6 linked regions of the Oryctolagus cuniculus genome follow. The main gene of each other region encodes a partner of the protein of the gene in region 6 in a complex. Links are inferred from orthologs where the notes say so. Each region holds a gene or a part of one and is shown on either strand. Other genes may lie near its edges. The genes, in order: TGFBR2, TGFBR1, ITGB8, ITGB6, LRRC32 and TGFB3.

What was found.
Region 1: the proteins of TGFB3 (region 6) and TGFBR2 are in contact, whole or in part, in a crystal structure (PDB 9B9F), measured with the Homo sapiens proteins. The link is inferred for Oryctolagus cuniculus from reciprocal best matches to the Homo sapiens genes TGFB3 and TGFBR2. Residues at the interface, in NP_001316868.1 of Homo sapiens: Arg325, Lys331, Trp332, His334, Tyr390, Tyr391, Val392, Gly393, Arg394; in NP_003233.4 of Homo sapiens: Leu50, Phe53, Asp55, Ser72, Ile73, Thr74, Ser75, Ile76, Glu78, Val100, Asp141, Glu142.
Region 2: the proteins of TGFB3 (region 6) and TGFBR1 are in contact, whole or in part, in a crystal structure (PDB 9B9F), measured with the Homo sapiens proteins. The link is inferred for Oryctolagus cuniculus from reciprocal best matches to the Homo sapiens genes TGFB3 and TGFBR1. Residues at the interface, in NP_001316868.1 of Homo sapiens: Ala301, Leu302, Asp303, Asn305, Tyr306, Tyr350, Leu351, Ser353, Thr357, Thr360, Leu364, Leu368; in NP_004603.1 of Homo sapiens: His39, Leu40, Thr42, Lys43, Phe55, Met70, Ile78, Phe84, Val85, Lys91.
Region 3: the proteins of TGFB3 (region 6) and ITGB8 are in contact, whole or in part, in a cryo-EM structure (PDB 8VS6), measured with the Homo sapiens proteins. The link is inferred for Oryctolagus cuniculus from reciprocal best matches to the Homo sapiens genes TGFB3 and ITGB8. Residues at the interface, in NP_001316868.1 of Homo sapiens: Gly262, Asp263, Leu264, Arg266, Leu267, Lys268; in NP_002205.1 of Homo sapiens: Ser156, Ala157, Ser158, Asn161, Arg206, Gln210, Cys211, Tyr214, Leu216, Ser247, Gly248, Asn249, Ile250, Asp251, Thr252, Glu254.
Region 4: the proteins of TGFB3 (region 6) and ITGB6 are in contact, whole or in part, in a crystal structure (PDB 4UM9), measured with the Homo sapiens proteins. The link is inferred for Oryctolagus cuniculus from reciprocal best matches to the Homo sapiens genes TGFB3 and ITGB6. Residues at the interface, in NP_001316868.1 of Homo sapiens: His259, Gly262, Asp263, Leu264, Arg266, Leu267, Lys268; in NP_000879.2 of Homo sapiens: Ser142, Ala143, Ser144, Asp147, Pro196, Cys197, Ser199, Ile200, Tyr202, Cys204, Ala234, Asn235, Ile236, Asp237, Thr238, Glu240, Asp271, Lys355.
Region 5: the proteins of TGFB3 (region 6) and LRRC32 are in contact, whole or in part, in a cryo-EM structure (PDB 8VSB), measured with the Homo sapiens proteins. The link is inferred for Oryctolagus cuniculus from reciprocal best matches to the Homo sapiens genes TGFB3 and LRRC32. Residues at the interface, in NP_001316868.1 of Homo sapiens: Leu24, Ser25, Thr26, Cys27, Thr28, Leu30, Pro347, Pro349, Tyr350, Leu351, Arg352, Thr357, His358, Val361, Leu364, Leu368, Ser375; in NP_001122394.1 of Homo sapiens: Ala110, Ser135, Tyr137, Ser160, Val184, Met186, Asp187, Ile188, Asp190, Phe193, Leu202, Leu204, Arg206, Asn207, Ser208, Thr210, Cys211, Ile212, Ser213, Asp214, Phe215, Ser216, Leu217, Cys227, Asn228, Ser229, Lys254.

Annotation. Positions count from the first base shown.
Region 1 is NC_091435.1:167,306,905-167,310,404, forward strand, and holds part of TGFBR2 (TGF-beta receptor type-2), read left to right. Parts: intron 1-2,417; coding exon 2,418-2,597; 3' UTR 2,598-3,500. UniProt on the Homo sapiens protein: Transmembrane serine/threonine kinase forming with the TGF-beta type I serine/threonine kinase receptor, TGFBR1, the non-promiscuous receptor for the TGF-beta cytokines TGFB1, TGFB2 and TGFB3.
Region 2 is NC_091432.1:202,740,863-202,745,049, forward strand, and holds the start of TGFBR1 (TGF-beta receptor type-1), read left to right. Parts: upstream 1-1,387; 5' UTR 1,388-1,480; coding exon 1,481-1,568; intron 1,569-4,187. UniProt on the Homo sapiens protein: Transmembrane serine/threonine kinase forming with the TGF-beta type II serine/threonine kinase receptor, TGFBR2, the non-promiscuous receptor for the TGF-beta cytokines TGFB1, TGFB2 and TGFB3.
Region 3 is NC_091447.1:12,468,257-12,471,756, forward strand, and holds part of ITGB8 (integrin beta-8), read left to right. Parts: intron 1-1,565; coding exon 1,566-1,971; intron 1,972-3,500. UniProt on the Homo sapiens protein: Integrin alpha-V:beta-8 (ITGAV:ITGB8) is a receptor for fibronectin. It recognizes the sequence R-G-D in its ligands.
Region 4 is NC_091434.1:81,764,368-81,768,505, forward strand, and holds the start of ITGB6 (integrin beta-6), read left to right. Parts: upstream 1-1,338; 5' UTR 1,339-1,475; coding exon 1,476-1,587; intron 1,588-2,300; coding exon 2,301-2,380; intron 2,381-4,138. UniProt on the Homo sapiens protein: Integrin alpha-V:beta-6 (ITGAV:ITGB6) is a receptor for fibronectin and cytotactin. It recognizes the sequence R-G-D in its ligands. Internalization of integrin alpha-V/beta-6 via clathrin-mediated endocytosis promotes carcinoma cell invasion.
Region 5 is NC_091432.1:67,614,941-67,619,019, reverse strand, and holds the start of LRRC32 (transforming growth factor beta activator LRRC32), read left to right. Parts: upstream 1-1,279; 5' UTR 1,280-1,506; intron 1,507-1,887; exon of another isoform or gene 1,888-2,200; intron 2,201-4,079.
Region 6 is NC_091451.1:21,954,245-21,958,234, reverse strand, and holds the start of TGFB3 (transforming growth factor beta-3 proprotein), read left to right. Parts: upstream 1-1,190; 5' UTR 1,191-2,087; coding exon 2,088-2,577; intron 2,578-3,990. UniProt on the Homo sapiens protein: Transforming growth factor beta-3 proprotein: Precursor of the Latency-associated peptide (LAP) and Transforming growth factor beta-3 (TGF-beta-3) chains, which constitute the regulatory and active subunit of TGF-beta-3, respectively.

The sequences.
Region 1 (3,500 bases), on a different chromosome or scaffold from region 6:
CCCAACCCGGGAGTTTATGTTTCATTCCCGCTGGCTTCAGATGTTTTCCTCTGGGAATCTGCGGCTTAGGAAAGAAATTCTTGGAGTTGGGAGAGGAGCAGGGTTTGTCAGGCAGCTGGACCGGGGAGTGACTGCGGCATGCAGGACGCCGCGCACAGGTGTCTGCTAAAGAGGGCGCCATTGCTCTGGATTGGAAGGAGTTTGGAAGTGGTAGGTTTTCCTAAGGGCAAGGCAGGTTCAGATAAGAAACAGAAATAACAACACCTCTGCTGCAAGACGGAAGGCAGATGGAGCAGAAAGTCTGCCCTGGGCTAGCCTTGACCAAAGCCACTTCAGGGACAGCCTGTCAGCCGTCAGGGCTGACCCAGGTTGCAGTGGGGGAGGGGCCTGTCCTGGGTTTCCGGCAGATCATCTGTGATTCTAAAACTGCAACACTGGTTTTGCATAAATTCAAAAATCAGAAGATTCTAGAGTGTTATGTTTCTTCCAAACTCTGTAGCTTCTTCTGCTGTGTAATTCTTCTAATGAAGCCATTATTCATGATGATAAAATTCTGGGAAGAATTTGCATAATACATTTTTTCTCTTAATGAGATTTGTTGCCCTATTGATTTCAAGTTAATGCTTAATATTTAATTTAATTTACTGCCTGTAATTACAGTGCCAGAATAAAATAAATGTTACTTGTGTACCAACAATAACACTCCACTTTTAACAGGGCCATCAATCAATGCCGTCAATTAGGTGAATTTTACAATTAATTCAACATCATGAACTCACAGGGTGGGGAGGGAGAAACAAGCTTGTAGGTGTGTTGGGAAAGCTGTTGGTGTTAAAAGGCAAGTGGGGCCAGTGCCGTGGCTCACTGGGCTAATCCTCCGCCTTGCGGCACCAGCACTAGGTTAATCCTCCGCCTAGCGGTGCCGAAACGCCGGGTTCTAGTCCCGGTCGGGGCGCCGGATTCTGTCCTGGTTGCTCCTCTTCCAGGCCAGCTCTCTGCTGTGGCCAGGGAGTGCAGTGGAGGATGGCCCAAGTGCTTGGGCCCTGCACCCCATGGGAGACCAGGAGAAGCACCTGGCTCCTGCCATCGGATCAGCGCGGTGCGCCTGCCTCAGTGCGCAGGCCGTGGCGGCCATTGGAGGGTGAACCAACGGCAAAAGGAAGACCTTTCTCTCTGTCTCTCTCTCTCTCACTGTCCACTCTGCCTGTCAAAAAAATTTTAAAAAAAGGCAAGTGGGACAAGTGCTGGCTCTCCAGGACAGGGTTGAGATCTGTCTGTCCCACCTTAGCCGTTGTGAGAGATCGCCATTGGCAATGCTGATCTTTTAGCTGGGAAGAAAAGACTATTTCTGGCTTATCACATTATCTATTTAGCTGTTGTCTGATTTCTTCCCCCAAAAGGATTTGCAATAGTAACAACAAAATTTGCAATGCAAAAAAAAATAAATAATAAGCCAGTGAATGGAAACTTGGCACCCTGCTGGACTCATTGGATGGGGCATTTATGGGGCTGGGATGAACCCTATTAAACAGACTAGAGGCAAGCACTCTTAACATACAAAGACAGCATTTCCCAGAGTGTGATTTAATGTTGGAGAGGAATGGGGCAAGCGAGAGGTCATCCTTGGTAGTTCCTCGAAGCTGCTTCTGAATTCTTCCACGAAACGTGCACTTTACATAAAGAACCCGGCCCACTGCCTGCACACCACCCTGACTTTGGTATTCAGCCCTGTCGGAATCGAGTGGTGTTGTGTGAGCCAACTCTATGTTCCCCAGCACAAACAACTGCAGAGCCAGGACTTCAGGGGGAGGGGGAGGGAACAAGTGGAATATGAGGGATTTCCGGGGTGGAGGCAATATTATGCATGACACGGCAGTGGAAGATCAAAACCAGTGGAGTGTACAACACCCAGAGGGAACCACAGGGTGAACTGTGGATCTTGGTTAGGAATCATGTATCAGCATTGGCTCGTCAGTTGCAATAGGTGCACCAAACAGAGGCCAGCTGGTGACAGTAGAGCCTGTGCGTGTGTGGGGAAGGAGTTATTTAGAGACTTGCTATACTTTTCCATTCAGTTTAGCGGTGAACCTAAAATTGCTCAAAGTAGAATAGAAAGGTGTGACAGGTATTGGGGGCCACCACCTGAGAAATCAAGCGTTGACAATGCTCCTCTCGCCCTGTATCCCAAGCAGGGGGCCCTCGTGTGTCCTGACCTGTAGTGACCAAATCGCACCAGTGCGAATAGGCAGACAGGTGTCTTGAGCCGTTGCCCCCTGCACAGCCCCTGTTCCACATGGAACTGGCAAGGTGCTTGGGCAGAGCATGTTAGTATGCTGCAGGGCCAAATGTCAACAGACCACCTTGCCACCCCCAGAGCCCTCCATTCAAGTGTGCTTTGGACCCCTCTCCCTCTCCAGGGCATACAGATGGTGTGTGAGACACTGACCGAATGCTGGGACCACGACCCGGAGGCCCGTCTCACGGCCCAGTGCGTGGCGGAACGCTTCAGCGAGTTGGAGTACCTGGACAGACTCTCGGGAAGGAGCTGCTCTGAGGAGAAGATTCCAGAAGATGGCTCGCTGAACACTACCAAGTAGCACTTCTGGGACCGGCTGGGCCAAATCCAAAGAAGCCACCACTCTCACCAAAGAACAGCGGCAGCAGGAAGCTGCCCCTGAATTGGCCGATGCTTCCTGGAAAACCAAGGGCATCACTCCCCCTCCCTGTAAGCTGTGGGGATGAGTGGAAAACACAGCACAGGGAGCAGGTGACATAAAGCATTCTAAACCTTTGACATTGTCATAGGATAAGCTGTGTTAGCACTTCCTCAGGAAACGAGATTGATTTTTTTACAATAGCCAATAACATTTGCACTTTATTAATGCCTGTATATAAATATGGAATAGCTATGTTTTATATATATCTATATATGTCTATATCTATATCTATCTATATAAATATATATAGCCATACTCTGAAAAGAGACAAGGAAAAAGATCAAAGATTCCCAGGAAATCGGTTTGGTTGGAGAGCCCCAGAACCGAGCGAGGAAGGAAGGCAGAGGACAGCGTTACCCCCTGACAGACACACGTGGTGTCCTCCCCAAGCTGGGCGACGGGGCACCTGGCGTGAGCAGAGACGCTCCGTGTCTCGGGGCCTGCTTCGGCCATGTTACACTTGCTTTTGCAATCATGATTCCTGGCACGGGGGTTCTCCTCCAGCCCTGGAGCTAAGTATGGTCGCACTGTTTGGGGACCAGTGTTCCTGGGGTTCCTGTGTGCCATTGACGCTCCTGGATTTTGCATCTGGGCTCCAAGCTCCACACAGCTCAGAAACTGCCCCATCTCTGCTAGTTTAAATGTTTCGAGGCCCCGTGTGTCACCCTCATAGGCTGCAGAACAATCAGGGTAAATGTCTGCACCCGTGAACTTGCCCCACCATCTACTAGTAAGATTGTTCTTCGCTGTGTCATTCCCTCTGTACATTTGCTACCCTTCCCC
Region 2 (4,187 bases), on a different chromosome or scaffold from region 6:
GTATGTGTCACTGTCTCTGTGCCTTTCAAATATAGACAAACACAAGCCAGCAAACAGAATTCACTGACTTGCTAGAGTGTCCTTGCAGGGACAGGAACCCAGCGGGTCTCAGATCCCAGCTCCCACATCCCCATCCTTCCCCTTCACAGCTCACCAACTTCCTCAGGCGGGTACCATTCTCACCTACTAGCTCTCAAGGAATTTGCAAATCCCAACTAGACGGCTGGTTCTGATTCTGATTACCAAGCTTTATTTAATTCCAAATTCCAATCGCTCAGAAAATTCACATTTTCTCCTTAAAAGGTCCTTCGGAGAATCGTTCTCCGTGCTGCGTAACACAGCCTCCTTGGCTGTGTTTGTGTCTGAAGAAGGCACTAGTCTGACAGGAAGAATTACAAATCTGGAGTTAGTTTTGGCATCCCAGAGGGAAGGTGGGTGGAGCGTCTCACAGTAAATTAGGAATTCAGAATGAAAACGTAGTGGAGTTTATTTGGGTTTTCAGTGACACCTCAGAATTATTACACAGGCGAATCAGAGACAGCTCAAGGTAACGATGATTGCTCCCCTCCGCCCGGGAGGAGCTGGGGCTGAGAGCGGAGATTCCCTTCCTTGGAGGGTGGGATGCAGGCTCTCCCTTTCCAACCTGAATCAGGAAGTCGAAAAGAGGGTAGGAGAGTGGCTTGGGTCCCTGTTCTGGGCGTGATCTGGAGGGAGGCTATTTGAGGTGTGTGTCTGGATTCGGGCTCTGGGATCTAAGATTGAGATCTGAGAACTTTCTGGGCCTGGAATTTGAGGAGGGGGCTAGGTATGGGGTGTACGCCAAGAGCAGGATGAGTCGCATGTGATGGGCACTGAGAAAGGTGATGTTGAAACTTGAGGCGTGGGTCTGGGGAGGGGACGCTGAAGTGGATGCAAGCGCTCCGCGACAGTGCGGATGTGGGCGGCTTGTGTTACCGACTGCAGGTGCAGGGCTGTGGATGGGGGGGCCAGGGTGGGGCTGGGTCAGGACCAGCTCTTTGGTGTCTAAGAGGAGGCCAGAAGAAAAGAGCGGCGAGCGGCCGCAGCCTTTTTTCGAAAGCTAGCCAGAAGCAGACACACCCATCGCCCACTGGGGCTCGGGAGAGCCAACCCCCACCCGGCCTCGGGAACCCGGAGCTCGCTCCGGCTGGGGAAGGGGTCTGGCGGCACCGCCCCCGGGGAGTGTGTGGGGCGTGGCCGGAGGCCGGAGCCCGCTGCCCCGGATTGGTCGCCTGGCGGGCCCGCAGGCGGGGCTCCCGGCCTGGTCCCGCTGGGCCGCTCGCAGCCGGCGGGGAGGCGGGGCCGGCGGGGGCCCGGCAGCCAATGGGCGCGCGTCCCCGGAGCAGTTACAAAGGGCCGGAGCGAGGCCGCCGCGGCGGCGGGGGAGGTGGGGCGAGGCGAGGCTTGCTGAGGCGAGGCGGCGGCCGGGCCGGGCCGGGCCACAGGCGGCGGCAGCGGGACTATGGAGGCGGCGGCCGCTGCTCCGCGTCCCCGGCGGCTGCTCCTGTTCGTGTTGGCGGCGGCAGCGACGCTGCTCCCGGGGGCAACGGGTGAGCCCCGGCGCGGCGGGCGGGCAGGCGGGCGGCCGCGGGGGCGCGCGGGCCGGGCCCGGCCTCTGGCTCGCTCCTGCTCTTTCTCAAACATGGCGCGGGGCCGGGGGCGCAGGTGGCGGCGCCGGGGCCCGGGCTGGGCTTTCAGGGGCTGGTGGCCGCCAGGCGAAGCTGAGGCGGGCAGCGGAGGAGCGGCGGGGGTGTGTGTCCGAGTGCGCGTGGACGTGGCCGACAACCCAAGGCCGCCCGGGTTCCGGGGGCCCCCGGAGGAGAGGCGGCGTCAGGCGGAGCCGTCCGAGGTCGGGGGCTGCCCTCTGGGGCGTGAGTGGGCGAGGGGCGGAGGGTGAGGCTGGACCGGACCGGCCGAGCCAGGCTGCCCCGGCGCGTCCTCCAGGTCACTGCGTGGCCTTATTCCGGGCACCCCTGCCCCCAGGCAGGACTGGGCCTGGGGCTTCTTCCGAGTCCCGGGGCGGAGTTGGGGTCCGGGGAGGCTTCCCGGGCGGGCTGTGAGCCCTGAGCCTCGAGGGCGTTCCGGAGCGATGCGAGGGGCCGCCGCGTGGTGGAGACCCCCGGGGCGGCAGGGCTGCGCGGGCTTTGGCGCCGGCCGCGACCCCGAGCCGACCTGCGGGGAGCGGCTGCCTCTCGGGCCGGGGTGGCTTGGCAAGGGGAGCTGCGAAGCTTTGTGTTGAGGAGGCGGCGGCGGCACGAGATGCGCGGATTGTTTCCCTCTCCGTGCGTCTGGGAGTGTTGAAGCGAGTCCAGCCGCCAGAAGGCTACGGATTGTTTTCGTAGTAGAAACTTGCACGTTTGCTCACTCCGCGGGGTTGGGAGTGTTTGAATGGAAACGCTTTTATTTCTTTGAAGGAGCGTCGCTCCTGATGTTCCTTTTCTTGAGTGGCAGTTAGCAGCTTGAATCAGACGTCTGTGTAGCCGCTTTTCAAGTGAGACTGTTTGCCCAGCTTTTTTGGTCGCTAAACCAGGTTGGAGTAGGTGGTGGGTGCCTACCCTGGCGAAGGGTGGAGTGCCTAACTCTGTTAGAGACTGAACTAAAATATAGAAGCTAAATAGAGAACTTGGGTGAAAATGCAGCGAAATGGAACAAGTGTTAAACAAAAGCAAATTCAAGACCGGTGCCCAGCTATCCTAATAGCTACTGTCTATTAAGAGCCCACTGTGATGCAAATGCAAAAAGCACGCCAAAGCGTATTGTCCAGTCTCTGCCACTAACCCTTAAGGGCTGCTGGCCTTTGCCCCGTTGGTAGTTGGGAAAGCTGAGCTGCAGAGAGGTGAGGACCAGTTACTAAGTGCTGAGGTTAGGATTTGCTGTCAGCTCTCTCAGTTTCCAAAACCCATACACCAACTATCTGGCACAGCCCATTTTTTCTTTTTCCATCATCTAACAAGCAGTTGGTATTCATCCCTTAAGATGTTGGCCTCACAATTTGAGTGTTAGGTTGACTTCTTTCTACATCCTGACACATTCCTGAGTCCCTTGCCATGGGCCTGTATTAGAGGAAACAGAGGGTTTTGACCTGGCCTCAGGAGGGAGGCAAGATAACTGTGGACAGGTGGGATACACTGATACAGTTCTGCATCAAGCAGGCAACTTTCCACACCATTATTAACTTGAGTGACGTAGTTCAGTCACTGTTTTCCACCTAGGGTAGCACATACTCGACTTAATTGGAGGGACAGAACGCTGCTGGGTGGTGCCCTGGAGTTGACTGTCTGTGTGGGCACACATACAATACAGAGCTGGCCTGGATGCTGGTTACTCACAGCCCAGACCACCCCACTTTCCCGGCGCCCTGCTTAGGTGTGTTCGGGTTCCGTCTGTGCCTTCATGCTTTCTGAGGCAACCCAAGAGTTCTTTTTTTTTTTTTTTTTGGCTTCCCTTTTTAAGACTGGTGGTTTTTCCTTATTGTCTGGGGATCTGTTTTGCATTTCTGTGCCCAGCTTCTGCTCTCTCCAACATGGATTTCTCTAGAGCTGATTCCTTGTCCCTAGTGCAGCTTAGTTCCACCGTGCCTGCATTATACCCCACGCGAGAATGCTGTTTTGCTTCCTTTCTGCAATTTCATGACTTTTTTTCTTTGCAAACAGTCCGACTCTTTGTGCTGATGCCTCGAGTACCCCCTCCTTCCTTGGTGGATAGCCGTCAGCCTAGTCCTGCCGGTGATCTCCAAATCTGGTTGCTTTCTAGTGTTCCTCTGTCATGGCTTTCCTGTGAGCTGCTGCTCAACCAGTCTTCCCCTGCCACTTCACCAGGGCTTACCGGAGCCCCATGTGTGTGCACTAAGAACGATGCTCGAGGCTTCTGAGTTGGGCCATCTCTGAGTAGCCACCCCACTTCTCACTACTGCAGACCTTCGGTTCCCATGACTTCCTTTTTCCCACTGACACTCCTGATGGTTCAACCTTTTCAATACATAATTAATTTTGCCCCTTTTTGACGGGTGTGGAGACACAAATTTCTGGTCCTGACTTAATGTACTAGTTTAATTTTCCTTGAACTCTGTCCCTGGACTGTGTAGCACTTACAGTTACTTAACTGTACTTACGTGTAGTGCTCAGGGACAGTACAGGCACCCTGAGGACAGGGCTTCTGCTTTCTATTTC
Region 3 (3,500 bases), on a different chromosome or scaffold from region 6:
AGTCCTATTATTCTAAGATCAAAAAGAAAGAATTTTCCTTTCTCCTTAATTAGAATATATTATCCCATCTTGGAAATTTTAGAATCTGCAATAGCACATATATTTTTCCTCTGAGCTGTATATTTTAAACTAATTATTGCAAGCTTCTAATTCTGTAGTTCCCTCTATAATCACTCTTTGGATTTTGTTCAAAAGGTATCACACAGCAGTTTACAAAATATTTATGATTTAAATACAGAGAAAACTTTTACTAGCAAAAGATAGTGAGTGATGAAACCCAATTTTTTATGAGTAGTTCTTTCTTTCAAAAATCTCTATTTTAGAAGAAGTATTTTCCTGATTTCTTACTTTTTTCCCCCTCTTCTTTGCCTGTATCCCCTTTCCCCTCCACTTTCAACCAAGTAACATAAGCAGTTTGACTCTGAGGAATATTCATTTGCCCTCCCTCCTAATTACATCAACCCTAAGTTTTGTTCCACTGTTCAGAACGGCAGGGGCCACATTACCATACACATCTGTTAATCCTTAACAATCCTAAAAACAAAAACTATTTCAAGTGCAAACCAACTGTATTGATTTTAATGAGACCGATTCTACTTCCTTATGCATAAATAAACTTACATTTAGATTTTATGTATATTTAATTACATATATGCTAATTAAATAGATTTCTGTTTAAGGCCACAAAATATACAACCTTCTTATGTAACAAATGACCTGAAGATGGTAAGGCAGGTCAACTATAAGTGGACACATCAAACCAATTGTGCTGTGCAAAAAGAAGAAATAGAGCAAATGGAAAAAGTGGCCGAGGGAAGGGCATTGTAGTTTCAGGAGGGAAACCAAAGCCTGGCGGTCCTCTTCCTTGGTTCTGGAGTAACTCTTCCCTCTGGGATAAATATTTGACCTCATCTTGAAGATCTAAGATTTGAGAGTGAGACGTCTAAATCTTTTGTCCTTGACTGATCATAGTAAACCTCATATTTTCCTCCTTTGGCACCCTGTATAAAAGAAAATGTGACTCTGAAACTTAGCACCCTAGAAAACAGGAAGGAAAGAAAGCTGTTTGGTTGAGTATCTCATCTCAGGGTTTTACACCAGCGGAGCAGAGCCCTTTGCTTGGGTTTACTTGCTCTCTCTAGCACCAGGTATTCAATAATCCCACATTTTGGGACTGAATTCGGACCAATGCTCTATTCTTTCTCAAATCTGCTAAGAAATTAATCATAATGGTGGAGTAGATGCTTTAAATAGGCTTAGTCTCTTTAATAGTGCAATATTAGCAACCATTGCATCCTTCAACTCCCTAGTTATTAATTAATTTATTAATTATTAACAATTAAGAAATAAATGCCTGAATTAACTAATAATAATTAGGTATTAATTAAGAAGCAAATGACCTTGAAAAGGGAAGCTGCATCTACTTATAAAAGAGATTCATGTGTATTTTACAAATATTACTCATGTCTTCAAGATAGTATATTATCAATTCAAATCTTAGCAGTTATAATATTGGTGATAAAATAATCAATGTATGTAAATCTATTTCCTCAATCTCAATTTAGGTGCTCTTCAATGTAACAGTGACAATGGAAAAATGCAGTGTCACAGGAGGGAAGAACTATGCAATAATCAAACCTATTGGTTTCAATGAAACCAGTAAAATCCATATACACCAAAACTGTGGCTGTGAGTGTGAGGCCAGCAGAGGAGGTGCAGCGAAGTGTGCCGAGGAAGCACCCCTGGATTCCACGTGTCCCCAGTGCCAGGAGAGTCAGTGTCGTCAAGAGGAAGCACAATCTCCCAGTCAGGGCTGCAAGGCCCACGAGGACCAACCGGTGTGCAGTGGCCGAGGGGTTTGCGTTTGTGGGAAATGCCTATGTCACAAGATGAAGCTTGGAAAAGTGTATGGAAAATACTGTGAAAAAGATGACTTTTCCTGTCCCTATCATCATGGCAGTCTGTGTGCTGGTGAGTATGGGTGGACACAGTCTGTCTTTGTGGTCACGAAGACACTGGCATATCAGTGAGAGTCCCTTACGTCTCATCTTACAAATGACCACCACTGAGTCTGAATTTAATTTTCAATGTTTCTTAATGTGTGGGATTAGGAAACAGCACAAGACCTATTGCCTCAAATGTTGCTATTTATATTTTAGCTTACTTCATATAAGAAATACTTTAAAATAAAAACTAAAGTTAATTGTCATTTCCATGTATTCCTTGATCTCATAAAGATAGCTATCTGAAAGGGAAATGGCTGATGATGGCTGACCCACCTTCTAGAAGAATCAGATATTCTAGAAGGACCTGATTCATTCTAGTTAATGGTCACTCCCCCCAGTTGACTCAGAGGGTTTTATTTCTATCAGGATAATGAGAACTGAGCTATAAAAATACACTTTTCATTCATTGGAAAATTCTCAATGCATGATTGTAGCTGGAATTATAAATCTGCATAATTTAAATCTCTCCAGCCAATTTTTGAAAACCACTAGCAACAGAATTGCCAAAGGACAGCATTCTTTAGGAAAATGCTGTTTTACTAAGTAATCTGGAAGATTAGCTCCTGAGGCCACACACAGACCAAACAGAAAATGAAGTTATCACAATTCCTATGGGCTAATTAGGTTTGCCGCCACCTAGAGGTTAGATTAGAGAAAATTTGTACACATTTGGAAATGAAAGCAAAGTATTATTTTTAAATGACTTAAATAAACAGTCATTTCTGTGGAAACGCCCCTGTAACAATGTGCTGAGTCTACGTATTATAAAAAAAAAAAAAAACCCTGGTAATATTTTCATTTAGCAAATATGTGTTAAATTATTGATGAGCAGAAATAATTCATTGTCCTAAGGACATAGAAAGTAACAAACTTATAAAAAATAAATTTTATATTCTTGTATAAACCAAAAATGGTCCTACAGCATCTAAATATGTGATGGCAAGTTGCCTTTATATCCTGTTACATACATAGAATATTTTAAATCCCAAGCATTTATTCAGCTATAACTGGCATTGTGAGTAGGATGAATTAGATTTCTAGGTGACATAAGAATGAATCAGCAGTTTGTCTACTGCATGTTACAGAGATGAGAAATATTTTACAGAGGGGAGAAAGAATTTACTGAAATCATCTCCTACAGCATCCAGTCTCTCAAACAAATTCCAGATACAATGAGGATCCCACTGTGATTACAGTGACATGTCAAAAATTCAAGAACTAGCCCTTCTGTAGAACTCTGGTGCTCTGAGCTGCAGGCGGGGAGGATCTGCTTTGAATTGTCTGTGTTGAAGTGCACACTGCAGGGCTGACATGAGTTTTCGCCACTCGTTTCCTCTGCAGGGAAAAACACATGTTCACAGGTCAGCTGGCTAGGGTTTGGCACACAGCCGACAGAGGAACAGAGTCTGACAGACGTCTGTTTGGCCTGGAGCTCATTAGTTTTACACTGGGCAGATCCTGCCGCCGTGGACCCTGGGGCAGCCACTCTAAGGT
Region 4 (4,138 bases), on a different chromosome or scaffold from region 6:
CCTCAGCTGCTGAGAAGAACTTACACAGTCTATAATTAGTTTTCTTCTCTGCAGGTTTCATGTGTTTGCCTAGAAACACACTTTTAAAAGATAATCTCCTAGGACATAAGTGCAGCCACAAAGAGGCTTGTCTAAGAGCAGACAGTTCAGAAAACGACCAAGTAAGTATTGGATTCTTACCTATTTGCAGTTCCTACAAATCCCAAAACAACTTGCTGAATACGCTGGGATGGGGAGGGAGCTAAAGGGGTGACGATGACTGTATATGGATTTTTGAATGGTGAATCTTTTATTTAACAAATAAATCCCTATCTCCTATGTGCCAGGTACCCATGTGAGTTAGAAGCTGTAACAGCACCTTGGAAAGAGAATTTGGTCCCTATACTGAGGAATTCAGAATCTGTGAACCATTATTTCTGTTTCCAAACTTGCTGTTGTGAGATCATCTTATTCTGTTATAATTTGATTTTCACATATTGTATCTATTTCTGATATCCCTTTTTAAATTTATTTAGTTATCTTTAATTTATTTGAAAGGCAGCAAGAGACAGAGACAGACACAGAGAGATATTCCATCCTCTGGTGCACTCCCAATTGATTGTAGCAGCCAATGCTGGGCCAGGCCAAAGCCAAGAGCCTGGGTCTCAGTTGGGTCTTCCACATGGGTGGCAGGCACCGAAGTACTTGAGCCATCACCTGCTGCCTCTCAGGGTGTGTATCAGCAGGAAGCTGGAATTGGGAGTGGGGCTGGGATGGGGACCCAGGCACTCCAGTAAAGGATATGGGTGTCCCAAGTGGCCTCTTAACACTGTGCCAGTGTCTGCTCATAGTATCACATTTTAAATACAATATATTTTTATGGGAAAATATCTTTCATCCAATTTGAAAAACCCAGTGTTTTACTTTCCCTAGCCTACCTTCTAATTTGATCGGAAAAAATTTATTTTTATTTTTCAGAGTTCATTTCCATTTTCTGCAAAAGATTTAACAATGGAATACAAAAATCTCAGGTATTTTCATTTATGAGCTCCTTACATATAACTTAAATACTTGAGTTTCATTTCACATAGTTACTATTCACATTAAATGGAAATTATTGTAGACACAATCATACTTGATTTGCTCTGACATTTCATTAATCAATATTTCACTACAGATCTTAAACTTTCTCTGGACTACAGAGAGACTAACAGAATTTACACAAAAATTTCTTCTGAATGAATTTCCCCACCTTCTTGGTGATCGTACACCTGCCTTCCTTATAAGGAGAACAAGGAAGTAAATCATGTTGAAGTTGCTTTCAAATACAGCTTTTCTTCTTTACCTGTCCAGGTAGCCTCTGTTTTCATTTCAGTCTTAATGAAAACTTCTTAACTTACATCTCAAGTTTCTTTTCAAAGCAGCGTAAGTAGTATTTAAATTTTGCACTGCAAGAAAGAAAGACTTTCACCGATATTCCGCTTTAGTCTTGTAACATGGAAGGTAATTCATTTTTTAATCCGTCTGCACAGCGAGAACTGAAGCGAATGGGGATTGAACTGCTTTGCCTGTTCTTTCTATTTCTGGGAAGGAATGAGTGCGTACAAGGTAAGACCTGAGTTCTCTGTAATGTTGCTTTCGTGGTGTGCTTGACAAACCTGTCATTTGGCTCAGAAACTAGATCTGAAGTCATTTTTTATTTGATCTGTTTGACTGCTCTTTTGCCACGGAGAGAACACTTTAACAAATTGCAGGCAAACACTGAGCTGTTCCCACAGTGAATGCTCCAGGCTTAAGGTAAATAAATACAAAGGTTGCATAGACATTTTAATAAGGAGAATTAAACAGCATTACTGCACAATGAGACTTCTCAATGCCACCGTGACAACCATTTTGGAAACGTTTCTAGTTTATTGTATAAGCCTTTTCACTTAGGAGTAATCTTGCGGGACAAAAAGGATTTATTTCAAAAGCAGAAATATCACATTTAAGAGTGAAGTGCGTTTTATGAGTGTAAATAATTTTAAAAATTTATGTGTCATAGAGTGAATAAAAATAATTAGCATTCTGTACTTGTGAATGCTTAGATATTTACATACCATAAGAAAAAAGAATAATTTTTCTCCTATAAGACATAGTTTCAATGGGATAGATATAAAATATAAACTCTCAGGTGAATTGCTAACATTTGGGAACTGATCTGTAAAGACTGAAACAGACTTTGTTATGGTTTTATTCAAATAATTTAAGAGGGGTAAGTCTCATAAACAAAATGAATGAAAGTGTTCTTAACCCTTTGTTTCTTGCTGGGTGGAACACAGGTGGCTGTGCCCTGGGAGGTGCAGAGACCTGTGAGGACTGCCTGCTCCTTGGACCGCAGTGCGCCTGGTGTTCTCAGGAGGTAAGACAACTGACCTCAACCTGTTTTTAAAAATTATATAGTTACACATATGTTAATTTCCTCAGGGTTGGCTCTGCTAATGTCCTGCCTATTGGAGGATTATATGGGAAAAGCATATCAAGAAAGGACAATATAAGCATTGGTGGTTCAAAATGCCATTCATACAATCACTTTGAAAACTTATTTGTGGAAGGGGTGGATGTCATGTTATTTTGAAAAGGGACTTAACTCAGAATTATTTATTTAAAAGAGGTTCCTCCTCTTATTTTAAAGTCATTTCTAACTGATTATATCTTATAGTGGAGCCCTCTAAATAATCAGAAATGATGGAGGTGATATTTCCTAAAGTCAAACACATTTGACATTATATATAATATTATACATTATTGCATTCCATCTCATAAGCAAGATCCTTCCTGAACCATTGCTAAGTTCTAAGAGAAGTGTTTGGGGTAAGCATTACTGTTCAGATATGGTCTACTTCTTTTAAAAATTACATTTTCATGACCTGAGTGACTATATCACACAGATAACAAAGCCCCAAACAGCCATTCCTTATCTGGTCAAACTGAAAACTATGTGAATGTAGTTTGAAATTGATTGGGAAATATATAACAAGACATCCAAAGTCACTGCCTGTCCCGTTACCCCATAGAGCAATTTGTCAATGACTCATGGAAAAGGGATATGCATTAGCTTTCTGGATCTTAAAACAAGTCTCTGCCCACTGGATCTCATAAACAGAATTGAAACATAAATCAAACCATACAAATGCCAAGTTCAGCAAGAGCTGAGTAGCATGCTCAATGGGAAACAAAGCTAGACCTGGCTCCTACCACACCAATGCCTTGACTGCCGAGGCCGCAGAATTCAAGGAAAGTGTGCTTTTGTGAGCTCATATATCAAAAGCAGTATATTAAAACATACAATGAGGGCAAAATTCACATTTGAGGGGATATTGACTCTCTTAAAAAGACAGAATGGAGTCAAAGACATAATACGAATCAGTCTAGAATTTTATTTAAGTGCACTGTTTTAGCATTCGTTTAAGAGAGGGTCCTGTGTTACCATGGATAGCTTTACTTGCGGATGACACTTGAGAGTCAAATTATGGTCAAAATTTAGGTCAGATTATTTTTTTTTTTTTTTGACAGGCAGAGTGGACAGTGAGAGAGAGAGACAGAGAGAGAAAGGTCTTCCTTTGCCGTTGGTTCACCCTCCAATGGCCGCCGCTGCAGCCGGTGCACCGCGCTGATCCTGGCAGGAGCCAGGAGCCAGGTGCTTTTCCTGGTCTCCCATGGGGTGCAGGGCCCAAGCACCTGGGCCATCCTCCACTGCACTCCCTGGCTATAGCAGAGAGCTGGCCTGGAAGAGGGGCAACCGGGACAGAATCCGGCGCCCCAACCAGGACTAGAACCCGGTGTGCCGGCGCCGCAAGGTGGAGGATTAGCCTATTGAGCCACGGCGCCGGTTTAAATTTAGGTCAGATTATTTTAAGAAGTCACTCTAAGAGTCAAAGTAGCTATCAGGATATTAACTGAGATAACTGGAGCAAAAAGCAAATTAAGTCTTCGTTTACAGCAGATAGAAAGTAAATTCCTTGGTTAACATCACCTCTGATCCTTTGGTAAAGGCTGTGAGTGCAAGGTCACTGTGGTGAGGGGGAGTCTCAGGCCTCCAGCAGCCACTGTTAGCCTTTGTAACACCCTGGGAAGTTGGAATTCGCCATGCCTGCCCCAGAGCCTCAAATATGCATAG
Region 5 (4,079 bases), on a different chromosome or scaffold from region 6:
GCCTCTCTTGGGTTGACACGAGTCCCATCTACACAGGTCTACCCCTGAGGACTGGACAGGAGCAAGAAGAGGTGACAGGCCAGCACCGTGGCTCAATAGGCTAATCCTCCACCTGTGGCGCTGGCACCCAGGGTTCTAGTCCCAGTCCGGGCACTGGATTCTGTCCCGGTTGCTCCTCTTCCAGTCCAGCTCCCTGCTGTGGCCAGGAAGTGCAGTGGAGAATGGCCCAAGTCCTTGGGCCCTGCACCCACATGGGAGACCAGGATAAGTACCTGGCTCCTGCCATCAGATCAGCGCGGTGCGCCGGCCGCAGTGCGCCGGCCGCGGCGGCCATTGGAGGGTGAACCAACGGCAAAGGAAGACGTTTCTCTCTCTGTCTCTCTCTCACTGTCCACTCTGCCTGTCAAAAAAAAAAAAAAGTGACAGCTGTGTAGGCTCCAGGGAAGCCAGTGTCCACATCGCCCAGCTTCAGCCCAGTTGGCCCCAAGGCCCCACTCTCGGGGCTGGTGGCCGGCAGGGAAGAGACGCACTGTGGAAGAGGAGTCTTCTCTGCTTGGACCAGGGCCTGGAGGAACGGCCACCTAGCAGAGCAGAGCACAGGGATGTGGCAAGGGCCAGACGCCCACGATCTTTGGCGCCAAGGCCATGGCGCAGCATCTGGACAGCAGCTAAGCCACCAGGCGCGATGGTGCCCCAACTGGACAGCGGGCGCCCGAGTGCCAATGCCAAAAAGCTGCGCGACGGTGGGGTTGCCGTTTAGCCTTGCTAAGGCTCAGTTTCTGCAGCTGCAAAGCAGGTCCCCGCGGTCTCACGCACTTGGCTTTCAAGCCGCAAAGCTGCGGAAGTCGACGGCCCAAGAGCTGATAGAGGAGGACGGTCGCGGGCGCTATAGCTCGTTTAGGTGGTAGAGTGGCCGCCAGGCCGCGCCGCAGTGCGGGTCACTTCCTTCCGCGTCCCCCACGCCGGCCTTCCCGCTCGCCCCGGGCGAAGAGCATCGGCGCCGCCGACAGCTGGAAGATCGCGGCCAGGCCGGATTTCCTTCGCGGACCTGCGGCTCCCAGAGCCACCAAGCAAGCCCCCAAGCCCTCGGGGCTGGGGACCGCACGTGCGGTTGCCGACGCCGGTCTCGCCTCGCCCCCTCGGAGCGTGCTGGCGACCCTGCTCCCCGCTGGCGCTCGCCTCGTCTTCCCCGCGGGCTTCCAACTCGGAGCAGACGCCCCGGCCTCCCGACGCCGACGCCGCGGGGGCTCGCGGGTCTCGGGCGGCCGCAGGGCGCTAGGACCGCGCGGCGCCGCCGAGGGGGCGGGGGCGGGCCGGCGCGAGCGGGCTTTAAATGGGCGCCGGGGCCGCCCCCTCGCGGGTCGGCTCCCTTGGGGCAGCGGAGCTGCCGAGCGCCTCCTCGGGCCGGGACCCGGGGCCTGGCGCCGGGCCGGGCAGGACCGGGGCAGGTGTACGCACGATGCGCCGGGGCGACCCGCGAGCGGAGCGCCGGCCGCGCTGAACCAGGTAGGAGCCGCCGGGGGCCCCACGGAGCGCTGTCCCGCGCCGCTCGCCGGCGGGGGCCGGGGCCAGGGCCCTCGCCCTCCGGTCGCCCCTGAGGCGCGCGCCGAGCCGGACTTGACCCTCCTTCGGTCCCCAGGACGCCTCGGGGCGGCTGTCGCGGCGGGTCTTTCCCGCCCGGGGCTGAGGTCGGCGCGCCCATTTGACAGCTGGGCAAGCCGAGGTAGGAGGCTCAGGAACACCCCGCTGGCATTTGAATCCAGGTCTCCTGCAGTCTCTACTGCCCGCCTCCAGGGCTCGTCCCAGCGCCCCTGGGCGCGCTCGCGCGTCTGTCCGCAGCCGCCGAGGTGCGGGGAGGGGGGTGGAGTGGGAGCGGGGGAGGGAGGGACCCCCACCCCGCCCCGGGCCGCCTGGAATTCTGCCGTGGCGGCCGCATTCCTCTGGGTTAAGGTCTGATCCCCGTGGGACGCACACGTCTCCAGAGAGGGCTGGCCTCGCTGATTCACTGCGGCCCTCCGGGGACCCTCCTCAGCCACTCAGTCTGACCCGGGGCAGGGGAGAAGCCCAGACTGACTCTGTGAGTAGGCGGCCGCTGTGCGTCTGTGTGGGGGGCCTTGGCCGGGGTCAGCCCGGGAGCGCAGGGCCTGCCTGGCCCGGGGTTCTGATCCTGATCTCCGGCTGGCTGCCTGGGTGACTTTGGGTAAGTCATGTCTCCGGGGCAGAATGGGCACAGTTCTCTAGGGGGCTGGAGAAAGCACAGCCTTGGGGTCCTGCATACCTGGGTGAAACCACTGGGAGCTGGAAGCCCTGGGGGCCAGTTCCCCCAGCTTCCTGAGCCTCCCTCTTCTCATCTGTGAATTGGGACGCACAGCAGTCACCTCCTTGGGTGGTTGTGAAAGTTAAATGAGATGATAGAACTCTGGTGCTTAGCAGAGTGACATCCTTATGTAGTAGGGTGGGCTTGTGACTGCGGGCATTGCCAGTGTCCTCTCTGTCTGTCTGTCTGTCTCTCTCTCTCTCTCTCATATCCTCTGGCTCTTTTCTGAGTCAGCAGTGAGCTGCCCTTTCTTCCCCCTTCCCCGGGGCTTCCCTCCTCTGCATGCCTCACCTGGGATGCTCAGCCCTGTAGCTCATCGTCCCGCCTGGACACCTTCCTGGCCACTCTCTGTCTGCTGTCACTGTGGCTGGGGCGGCCAGCGGGGCAGAGTGGTGGAGCTTCCCGGTGAGCCTGGGTTCAAGTGACCTGTGTCCTCGGGCACTCCCCAGAGTGGAGTCCCCGTGTGCTGCGAGGCCCTTCTGGGTGTGCAGGTGCCCGCCTCGGGAAGGAGGAGACAGGGCTCTCCAGGCTCGGAGCTGAACCCGACCTTGCCCTTCCCTCGCACTCACCACTCAGTCGGCCGCCGTGGAGCCCAGCCCCGCTCGGCTACCTGTTGACTGAATCTTGGGTGAGCCCCTGTCCCCTTCCCATCTGAATAAGTGCTTAGGAAGTGACGGCTGCGAGGGGAGGGGGACTGGCACTGCTGGCAAGGGGAATGGCAGGGCAAGGTGCCGAGGCAGCAGTGACCTTGGCCGAGTCTGGGGTTTGGTGGGGAAGGGAAATGGTAGATGGAGCCAGAGAGGAGACTGGGTGAAGCCTGGCCCCGACTGGAGGTCTTCCAACAGCAGAGTCACGTAAGTGACTTTCAAATATCCCCCTGGCTGCTTTGAATAAGGGGTCAGGTGGAAATGGGGAAGAAGTGACTGGGGCTGCTCCTGCCACCCTCAAGTCCTGGGGCCAGGGATGGAGGAGGGAGCTGGGCAGACCCAGGGTCACACCCACGGATGGAAGCAGGTGTGTGGCAGGGAGGGGAGGGAAGGTCGTGGAGGGCTGCTGTCACCATGTCACCCACACTGTCCTCCCTCGGCTGGCCTGTGCTGTGAGAGGGGTCTCTCAGAGGACAGCATGCCTCTGCCTGGGTGTGTTCCGGGGGAGTGGGGCGAGCCCTGCAGTGCATGGTGCTGTGCCCACCGGAAGCTCAGAGGTGTGGAAAGCTCCGGGCCGTGGCCCAGACTTGGGAAACCAAAGAGGCTTCTGGAAGGAGGTGACCTCGAAACAGAGGGAGAGGGGGTGGTGAGAGAGGAGGCTGGGGAGCAGGGCTGGCCAGGTCCAGGAGCCTCTACCTTGGACAGAGCAGACCCCTGCAGGTGAGAGGAGCACCATGGTGGTGGCAGGGGCCTGGGGCCGGGGCCCGGAGGAGGGAGCCCGGGGATGTGGCTGCGGCTGGAAAGACTCAGCAATGTCCCTTGCACGTTCCAGCAGGAAAGAGCCCCAGAGCAGCCATGTTCATTGCCACTAGAGGGTTCAGCGGTCCAAGTCACAGCCCTCAAAGGCCCTGCCGATGTCCTGTCTCCTGACGCGGCTCACGGAATCCCAACTCAGCGCTAGTTCACAGAGCACCTGCTGGGAGAGGCTTGAGAGTGCCAAGGTTAAGGGCGCAGAGCCAGGGGCCACACTGGCGTGGCCTACCACTGGCTAGCCGGGTGACCTTGGGCACCTCTTGGGTGGCTTGGGCTCTCTGAACCTCAGTTTCCCCTTCCGA
Region 6 (3,990 bases):
GCTCCTGGCTTTGGATCAGCGCAGCTCCGGCCGTTGCAGCCGATTGGGGAGTGAACCATCAAATGGAAGACCTTCTCTCTCTCTCTCTCTCTCTCTCTCTCTCTCTGCCTCTCCTCTCTCTGTGTAACTCTTTCAAATAAAACAAATAAGTCTTAAAAAAAGAAAATTATTCCTATCCAAACCATAGAATCTGAGTTCAATATCAGCTCCGCCATTCATAAGCAAGGTGACCTAAAAACAACAACAACAAGGTGGCCCCTCAACTGTACAGTGGTCCAGCAGCGTGCCCTGTGCTGCACAGAGCGTCCCGGCTGGAGCCGGGCGCCCTTTGGGTCTGGCCGGGCTGCAGGGGGCGGCGGCCATTCCCAGGAGAGGGACCCCTCGGACCGACGTCCGGGGCTGCAGGGGGAGTCTGGCCGGCCCTACGCTGTTTGCTCGTGGGAAAAGCCCTCGAGGTCCCGGCGGGACGGCGGAGCGAAGTTGGAGCGCAAACGTCCCCTCCTCAGCCATCTGGGAAACCGGCTCGGGCCAACCGCCGGCTCCGCGCTGGCTGGCGCGGCTCCCACGGAGCCCCCGGCGGGGAAGGGAGGCCGAGACGGCCGCGCCCGCACGCACGGGGGTCCCCCCGCGCCCGCAGCCCCCTCTCCCGCCCCGCGGCCCTCCCGGCCTCCGCGTCTCCGTCACTGGCGGCCGGGCCTCGCCAGAGGGCACCCTCGGCCTTCCGGAACGCGCCACCATTTTTTTTTCCGGCGCCCCTAGAGCTTCTGCAGGCTCGCGCGGCCGCCGACGGCGGGTTTGCCCCGTGAGGAGCGGGGGGCCAGGCTGGCCGCCGCCCGGGACGCTGCCCGAGGGACGGCCGGGGGCCCGGAGGGGCGGAGGCGAGGGGCGCGGAGTGCGCGGGCCGACAGCTGGCCAGAGGGCGCAGGGGCCGGGGGGAGCCGCCAGGGAGGGGGCTGCTCGGAGTAACTTTCCAGAAAAACAGCCAACGTGTAGCAGGAGTGACTCCAAGAGGGGAAAAAAAGTTCAGTGACCACGTCGGACGCAGCGTGTTTTTCAAATGGGCTCGGCTTTTCCCGTGCCTGTTTAAAACATTACAATCGTGCAGCGGCGAAGGAGGCCGGGCCCTGCCTCCCTCCCCCACCCGGGGCGGGAGACGTCATGGGAGGGAGGTATAAAATTTCAGCAGAGAGAAATAGAGAAAGCAGTGTGTGTGCATGTGTGTGTGTGAGACAGAGAGAGACGCAGAGCCAAGTCCAAGGCAAAGAGCGAGAGAGGCGAGAGACAGGGGAAGAAGCGTGCGGGAGAAGCCTGCCGGAGCAGCCCTGCAGTGAGCTGCCTTCTGTTTTCTTTCCTTTTATTTTTCATTTTTATTTTTTTTAAAGAGGAGCCAGGGACAGAAGCCATGGCGGAGGGAGAAGACACGCAGAGGTGCTGGTGACCGTGGGCGGCCGAGGGGGCTCTTGGGGCTGCCAGTTGCACGGGACTCCCCGCGTCTCAGCCAATGAAGAGGACACCAGGCAGCGAGAGCAGAGTGGTTTAGAAAGCCCCCAGCGAGTGTAGACGGAAGGGCAAGCATGGATGGAGTGCCTGGGGGACGAGGGTGCCCCGTGTTGCCCCCACCTTTAGCCGGCCCAGCAGCTGCCCAGCCCTGCCCATCCCCACCTACTCACTGGTGATCTGACTTTTCTGTTTTTCTTTTTCTTTAATATTATCCCTCCCCCCCTCCTTTTTTTTTGTTCCTGTTCTCCCTCCCTCTTCTCCTTCAGGGCAAGGCGAGGGTTTTGATTTTTGGGACCCGGCCACGGTCCTTCCGTGCCCTCTTTAAAATACCCGCTTTCTCCCCATCGCCAAGTGGCGTTTGGCAATATCAGATATCCGCTCTATTTATTTTTACCTAAGGAAAAACTCCAGCTCGCTTCCCACTCCCAGCTGCCTCGCCACCCCTCCCAGCCCTCCGCGTGCCCAGCAGAACCTGTTTAGACACATGGGCGAGAATCGCGGCGCACCGAGGCACACAGTCCGCTCCGCCGGCCTCGGGGCTGCCAGCGCTTCCTGGAAGTCTGCAGCTCGCGCAGTGCAGTGAGTTCATGCACCTTCTTGCCAAGCCTCAGTCTTTGGGATCTGGGGAGGCCGCCTGGTTTCCCTCCCTCCTTCTGCACGTCTGCCGGGGTCTCCTCCTCTCCAGGCCGCGCCGCCCCCCCTGGCCTCTCTCCCCGGCTCGCCCCATGAAGATGCACTTGCAAAGGGCTCTGGTGGTCCTGGCCCTGCTGAACTTTGCCACGGTCAGCCTCTCTCTGTCCACTTGCACCACCTTGGACTTCGGCCACATCAAAAAGAAGAGAGTGGAAGCCATTAGGGGACAGATCTTGAGCAAGCTCAGGCTCACCAGCCCCCCTGAGCCGTCGGTGATGACCCACGTCCCCTACCAGGTCCTGGCCCTTTATAACAGCACTCGGGAGCTGCTGGAGGAGCTGCAGGCAGAGAGGGAGGAAGGCTGCACTCAGGAAAACACCGAGTCGGAATACTATGCCAAAGAGATCCATAAATTCGACATGATCCAGGGACTGGCGGAGCACAGTAAGTCCCGGTCCTCACCAGGGTCACCGCCCTGGAGGGTCTCCACCGGAGCAGGGCGCTGGGCAGAGGGGGCCCGGCAGCGGCCACACCGCGGAGCACCCGGGCTCAAGACATGCGATGTGCCGAGGGGGCCCGGTAGTGGGTGGGTGGGGTGGGAGACAGAGCCCTTCTGGTGAGAGCCGGGGCGCCTCCGGGAGGCCGGCAGCTTGCCGGACTCACATCACATCCTTGGCGGATTTTAAGTCGGAGTTGCACAGGGCTGCCTGGAGAAGCATATGTGTTCTCGCACATGCGATCCTACGGGGAACTGTAAACATATGGGTGCCATACCGGGGTGGGGTGGGGGGCGGCTGGCTCTCTCCCTCGAGCCCTGACAGCTCCACGAGTCTGGAGACTCGGATCCTGTCCCTGCTTCTCACAGCTCGCGGTGACACGTCTCCCTGTCAGCTGTCCCAGTTTCTGGGAAGAACAGTACCTGCCCCCAGATCAATGTATGGGAAGCGCCCGGGAGCCCAGGCGAGAGAGCCTGGGCCCTTCTGTCTGCACCACACACATGACCCACGTGAGCCCACGTGTGTAGGGGGAGGGAGTGCACATGTGTTCACATGTCCGTGGACTTGAGGGCAATGCGTCGTCTCGGGTGGGACAGTGGATGGATTGCTCAAAACGGGCACCTTCCTGGGACCGGGGGAACACATGAGAGCAGGGTTGGAGCTCTGGGTGTGTAGGGGAGGACGGGTGGCCCTCTGTGTCTGCGTGTCACGGGCGGGTGGTCCGGCGAGAGAGCGGGTTGGGGGGAGGGGGTGGCCGCGGGGCCGTGTGTCCGGGAGCCTGTCTTCCCAGGAGCCTGCCGTCTGCGCGCAGGAGCTGGGAGCTGCGGGCCGAGACGCCTGTGTGTGTTTGTACACGTGTGGAAGTCATGTGTGTTTACTGAACGGGGATTTAAAAAACCTCAATACAACAGAGAGAAATTTGGCAGATGTTAAGAAACTGACAGCCCAGGAGAAGAGGAATGTGAGCCGCTCATGGGCCAGAGGCTCCGGCGCAGCTCTGTTTGCTTTTCCTACCAGCAGGTGTCCTCGCCGCCCTGCCGACCTAGCCCAGGCCCACCTGGGAGGTGCGCCGTGCACGCACTGGGGGCGGCAGTGGGATGGTGGGTGGGGGGTGCACAGAAAGGGTGGGAAGAAGCTTGGCTAGAGAAAAGGAACAGGCGAGGGGACTGACACGTGCACCAGCTCTGGCTGCAGGAGGTGCAGAAGGCCCCACTGGGAGCCAGCCCGTGCCAGGTGGAGGAGCTTGTGGTTACTGGCGAGGGGTTCCTGGGGCTGCCTGGGGCGCCCTTCCTTAGGAAGTGGCTACCGTGTGGGGCGGAGGCCGGGGGCCGAGGCAGAGCTGGGGTTCTCTGGCCAGGCC